2 linked regions of the Bombyx mori genome follow. The protein of the gene in region 1 purifies or fractionates together with the protein of each later gene. This does not show direct contact. Links are inferred from orthologs where the notes say so. Each region holds a gene or a part of one and is shown on either strand. Other genes may lie near its edges.

What was found.
Region 2: the proteins of E3 ubiquitin-protein ligase RNF13 (region 1) and AP-3 complex subunit delta purify together in Homo sapiens (affinity purification with mass spectrometry; 3 studies listed by BioGRID and IntAct, counting the BioPlex papers as one, with this or other methods). This does not show direct contact. The link is inferred for Bombyx mori from reciprocal best matches to the Homo sapiens genes RNF13 and AP3D1.

The regions. Positions count from the first base shown.
Region 1 is NC_085121.1:15,589,387-15,593,013, reverse strand, and holds part of E3 ubiquitin-protein ligase RNF13, read left to right. Parts: intron 1-427; coding exon 428-588; intron 589-1,104; coding exon 1,105-1,209; intron 1,210-1,636; coding exon 1,637-1,689; intron 1,690-2,740; coding exon 2,741-2,817; intron 2,818-3,415; coding exon 3,416-3,474; 3' UTR 3,475-3,627. UniProt on the Homo sapiens protein: E3 ubiquitin-protein ligase that regulates cell proliferation. Involved in apoptosis regulation. Mediates ER stress-induced activation of JNK signaling pathway and apoptosis by promoting ERN1 activation and splicing of XBP1 mRNA.
Region 2 is NC_085121.1:9,322,292-9,325,087, reverse strand, and holds part of AP-3 complex subunit delta, read right to left. Parts: intron 956-2,796; coding exon 832-955; intron 380-831; coding exon 1-379. UniProt on the Homo sapiens protein: Part of the AP-3 complex, an adaptor-related complex which is not clathrin-associated. The complex is associated with the Golgi region as well as more peripheral structures.

The sequences.
Region 1 (3,627 bases):
TTTGCCCCATTTTACGTTATAAAAGTATCCATTTCGTGTACACTAGTGGATGTATGCACATATTGCAGCGACTTTAACGGGAACGCGAGGAGTGAAGTTGTGCTATTTGTTTTATTTTGTCTATTTAGTCTTTCTTCAGGTTTAAATGTGTAATAACGGTGGTTTATTAACTGTTTAATATCTGTGTGAAAGTGCACAAATGTGGAAAAATGAAACAAAGCCGTTGGTCGTAACATCTCGGGATCCTCCAAAAAGTCCACTGAAAAAATCTCAGTAAATGACCACCATTTTACTGAGATTATATTTCATCCCATATCATCTCATTTCATTTCACTCCATATTATTATTTTTCATAAAAATAAGACTTGACTTAAAGGTCTTAGTTACCAGGTCATAAAATCCCTTTAAAAAAAATATCGTGTTGCAGCTTACCACAGCGCGTGCATCGACCCGTGGCTGACGCAGAACAAGCGCGTGTGTCCGGTGTGCAAGCGCCGCGTGGTGTCCGCCGGCGAGCCCCGCCCCCGCCGCTCCTCCTCCTCCTCCGACTCCGACACCGAGCCGCTCCTGCCGCAGCCGCGGGACCAGGTGCGCCCGCAACCACTCGTGGCCTAAAGGATAAGACGTCCGGTGCATTCGTATGTAGCGATGGACCGGGGTTCGAATCCCGCAGCCGGGTACCAATTTTTCTAATTAAATACGTACTCAACAAATGTTCACGATTGACTTCCACGGTGAAGCGATAACATTGTGTAATAAAAATCAAACCCGCAAAATTATAATTTGCGTAATCACTGGTAGGACGTCTTGTGAGTCCGCGCGGGTAGGTACCACCGCCGTGAAGCAGTAATGCTTTTCGGTTTGAAGGGTGGGGCAGTAGTTGTAACTATACTGAGACCTTTAGAACTTATATCTCAAGGTAGGTGACGGCATTTACGTTGTAAATGTCTATGGGCCTAAGCGATAAAAGATAAATAAAAAATCACCAACCGGTGGACCGTACGCTCATCTGCCTACAAGAACAACAATAAAAAATTGGATTAACTAGAATTTATTCACGACACAAATAAGTCCTAATATTTTTTGTTTATATAATCGTTTCAGGGAGGAGGAACATTTGAAGAGCAACGCGAGAATCCTTTCGTGCGAGCGGCGAGATTCATGTCGAGGTTGCGGGCTCGAAATAACCAGAATAGTGCTGATGCAGAGGTAAATCACATTTCGTTTGGCTGTATAGCCTTCGTTTCCTTGGCATTTTATTGATATACTTGCGACCCGCCCTCGCTTCGCTTCGGAAACATTAAAACACACATGAAACCAAAAAAATAAAATAAAAAATAAATAAATAAAAGTAGCCTAAGTTCGTCAGGGACAATGTCGGCTTCTAATGGAAAAAGAATTTTTCAAATCGGTCCAGTAGTTTCGGAGTCTATTCGAAACAAACAAACAAACAAATCTTTCCTCTTTATAATATTAGTATAGATTACATAACACAGAACAAATGCAGGGAATTCAACAATCCGCATACCAACATACCTCGCGTTCCCGTCGAGAAAGCAAAATGATTAACAAATATATTTTGATCAATGCTATTACGAGTTTTCATTGAAACGAAATACGAAATTTTATTCCACAGGTCCCTCCTGAACTAGAAGATAGTCAAGAAACGTCTGATCAGGACGAATTGAAGTAAGTTCGATTTTTCTCTTTGCCACCCACTAAATACGATGCAAAATAGTTTTGTATGGAATAGTATATGTGTAAAGAAAAACCTTTTTTATGTAATTTTTCTATAAAATCTTTTTTTTTTAAGTATTTCTTTTACGTACTGTACCCTCTGTCATTGAGAAAAAAGACGAGTTCAGTTTTATTTTATTCAAGAATACTGTGAAAAATAAAGGCTTTACATGTTTTTTTCTACGCAATTAAGCCTTTTATTATTGCTTAACCACTTTTAGAATATTCCATTATAAAGTGTTATCTGTGTCTGTTTCTTTACATATATAGTTGTATGGACTTTTTGGCGGGAACGCGAGGAGTAAAACTGTGTGATTTGTTTTATTTTGTCTATTGAGTGTTTCTTCAGGTTTAAATGTAATAACGATGGTTTATTAACTGTGAAAGTGCACAAATGTGGGAAAATAAAACAAAGCCGCTGGACGTAACTTCTCGGGATCCTCCAAAAAGTTCACTGAAAAAATCTCAGTAAATGACCACCATTTTACTGAGATTATATTTCATCCTATCTCATCTCATTTCATTTCACTCATCTTTCATAAAAATAAGAATATAAATTGAAATAAGCTATGACTTAAAGGTCTTAGTTACCAGGTCATAATCCCTTAAAAATATATATAGTTGTATTATACAATACAGTGTTATTAAGATAATAATTAATTTAGTATCGGTAGGACACCCTCATACCCTCTCTCCCCGTGGTGAAATGTCAGACCGATAACAATAAACATTGTAGGAGAATGATACCCCGCCCCGCTTAGCTGCTTACTATGCAGTTGTAGTAATGAGCAATAGACGTTAGTCAGTCAGTGGTTAACGTGCAGCGATCCACCGCGGTCGTTGACGCGAATAAACATGTAATCATACTCAGTGTTTTATTGACCGCCCCGATGAGGTTTCCGGAGAACAACACGCAACGGACAATCAACATAACTCACACACTCCGTCCACCTTCTCCATAAAAGCCTCACAACATAAATAAATAAATGTTGTTTCTGTGCAGCGGCAGTACCGAGGCGCAGCCCCTGCTGGAGGAGCGCGCCCCCCACTCCATCAACGGCTCCTCGCGCGGGGAGATCGGTACGTACCGCGCGCCGCCGCTGGCTTGAGGCGTGACATTTGAGGTCGCTCATTGTGTCACGTCCGAACCGGACCAGAATAACGACTATAGTATTCGATTCGGAGTCATAGGTAGCTTAAACTTGCCTTTTTTATTGTCGTTATATTACTTCCGAAGCTTCGAATACTCCACAGTCATAATGGCCACGGACGACTAAGGACACATGGATATTAAAGAACACAAAATTCATATAGAAAACGCGGAAATAAACGATAAAATGTAGTTTAAATAATACATCCCTAATAGATAAATAGTGGTACCTAGTTGTGCAGATGAGTCCGCGCGGGAGGGTAACAGCACTCTGCCTATTTCTGCCGTGAAGCAGCAATGCGTTTCGGTTTGAAGGGTGGGGCAGCTGTTGGAACTATACTTAAGACCTTAGAACTTATCTCAAGGTGGTTGGTGCATTTACGTCGTAGATGTCTATGGGCTCAGTAACCACTTAACACCAGGTGGGCTGTGAGCTCGTCCACCCATCTAAGCAATAAAAAAATAATACAGAAATTGTTTGATAGTTGAAATGTGTTAAGTGTTGTTCGTCTGTCTGTGTGTCCGCAGGGGTGGCGGCGCTGCCGGCTCCCGCCTACCACTCGCTGCCGCGGTACATCGACTTATGAGCCAGTACCCCTGCGCCGCACGACCCCCGCCCCCCGCACCGCCCCCGCCCAGCCGCGCCCCAACCATCACCAAAACGTCACAAGGAGTTTACGTTGCTTTTAGTTCACGAACTACATGTAAAGTTATCCGCCATTTTGAATACAGATGATACG
Region 2 (2,796 bases), about 6.3 Mb from region 1:
CTTCGATGAAATGGTCTGATCTTTGTTTTTCGACTCTTTCTTTTTCTTGTGTTTCTCAGTCTTTAATGTCTTTCCCTCGTCGACAGTTAATTCAGTATTTTCAACGACATCTTCTTTCAGTTGCTCGCCGTTGCTTTTAAAAACTCCATCGATGAGTAAAATATCTTCAGTTTTCTCATTTTTTATCGATTCTGTCGCACTTTGCTTGCGTTGCTTTGATTTCTTGTCCTTCTTTTTCTTAACAGGTTTATCAGGCGTGTCGTTTTCTGCGTTTTTGGATTTTTTTGCCGGTTTATCTTTCTTTTTGTCTAGCAAACCGACGCCGGGGGACGGATATTGTTGGAGACGTGACGTAAGAAGCTCGTCTTCGCGTAATGGCCTTAAAAAAAAAATTATGATTTACAAAGTTTTTATTCGATTTTAGGTATACAGTTCAGATCTAAAGGACGTGCCGCGGGTAGTAGCGAGCAACGACACGTCATTATAGATCCTCCCGATCCACTAACAGTGCTTTTGGGTAACCCAAGAACCGGTCATTGTTCTCGTCGAACCCATCGCTTGCGACGAAAGGCTCGACGAGTAAACTGACCCATAAATATAATCCACTGAGTTTCTCGCCGGATCTTCTCAGCGGGTCGCGTTTCGGATTCGGTGGTAGATTCTGCGAAGCACTGCTCTTGCTATGTCCAGTGTTAGCAACACTTCCGGTTTGAGCCCTGTGAGCTCACCTACATGTTAAGGCGAAGCTGAAATAGCCTCTCCAGGCTCTCAGCGTGGGTAGAAAAAAAAGCGAGCAACGGTAGTAACTCCAAAGTATAAGCTGTACTGTACCTGTCGAGGTCGAGGTCGAGCGCGTGGTGCGGGTCGTCGTGCGGCGGCGGCGGTTCGTCGTCGGACGGCGCCGCGCCCTCGGGCAGCTCCCCGCCCGCGCACACCGCCGGCCGCCGCTCCCACTCTGCACACACACGCATATACAGGTTACTTACTATACCACCTATACTATAGCTGATTTTGTATTGTATAGATACATACGGCAATTCAAGGCGATTATTAATCGTTTTTCGACAACATTCATCCTCAAATTAGCCTATATATATATGGACTTTATGGCGAGAACGCGAGGATTGAAGTTGTGTGATTTGTTTTATTTTGTCTATTTAGTGTTTCTTTAGGTTTAAATGTATAATAACGGTGGTTTATTAACTGTTTAATATCTGTGAAAGTGCACAAATGTGGGATAATGAAACAAAGCCGCTGAACGTTACTTCTCGCGATCCTCCAAAAAGTCCACTGAAAAAATCTCAGGCATGAAATATAATCTCAGATTTTACTAAGATTATATTTCATCCCATATCATCTCGTCTCATTTAATTTAATTTCATCCCATTTGATTAATGTGTCAAATTAATCATCTTCATTTCATTTCATTTCACTCCATATTATTATTTTTCATAAAAATAAGAATATACATTAAAATAAGACATGACTTAAAGGTCTTAGTTACCAGGTCACAATTTCCCTTTAAAAAAAAATAGCCTACTATAATTTAATATTCTAATCAAGAAGTTCGAAAACATAAAAATGTTTATTTCTACAAGTTGAAATGTGCGTGTGAGAACTAATAAATCAATCTACCTAGTCAGGTCATAAATTCTGTCACATGTTGAATGTAAAATAATTGAAACAAGTTTATTCATTATGTAACCATTCATATACCAAAATGAACTTAACAAAACATAGATTCTTATGACACTAAAGTTTATTCAAAATGTCCTCCGTATTTTGAATACAGGCCTTCAATCTGCGCGGCCAGTCGTCTATCGCAGCACGAACGAAGTCCATGTCAATATCGGCGGCTGCCTTAATCAAGGCTTTGAGCACGCCTTTTCCTCCAAGTGTTGCCATATTTTGTAATTTAACGGATTCAAATCTGGACTGGAGGAGGGCCAGTCTTCGTGCCGGATGAAGTCGATTTCACGCGCCGCCAGCCAGTCTTGTGTGCTCTTCGCTCTATGAGCTGGCGCCGAATCTTGTTGGAATACCCAGTGCCTGTTATTGAACATGGTATGAGAAACAGGTTCCACAAGGTTCGTCAGGACTGTATTTTGATACACAACTGCATTCGTTTTTACACCTTTCTTACAAAAATGTACCTCTGTTAAGCCCCAATAAGAAACTCCCAACCATACCATGAGCGAGGATGGAAAATGACCTCGTTGGACACGCGGAATACGGTTGCTCGCTTCTTCACTACTGTGTGCATACACCTTATCATTTTGTTTGTTGTAGCTCTCTTCTACGGTAAAAATTTTTTCATCCGAAAAAATAATTTCCCGATATTTTTTTCCCGCGTACCGTTTCAACAAAGCGCGGCATCTCTTCAGTCTCAGGTCCATTAGACGAGCATTCAAACGATGTCCTGTTTTTCTTTGATATGCCCGAAGCCCTAAGTCTTCATTTAACACCCTTTTCACCGTGGTTCTGCTTAACCCCATCTGAAGGGCCAACAGTTTCTGCTTACGTTTGGGATTTCTTTGAATTCGCGCCTTCACAGCTTTTATCACTGCTGGAGTCTTAACAGACCGAGGGTGACCACTTCTTGACCTGTCATCTACACTAGAGTCTTCATTGTATCGTTTGATGGTTTGATGGCTTTTGGTTATATTCAAATTTTTCAGTATGTTAAAAATTTTAATTGGCGCGTAACCGCAACGATGCAACGCAATAACTGCAACACGGTCTTCTTTAAGCGTCCACTCCATATTTAAAAATGAGTAAAATTCTAAAAGTATACAT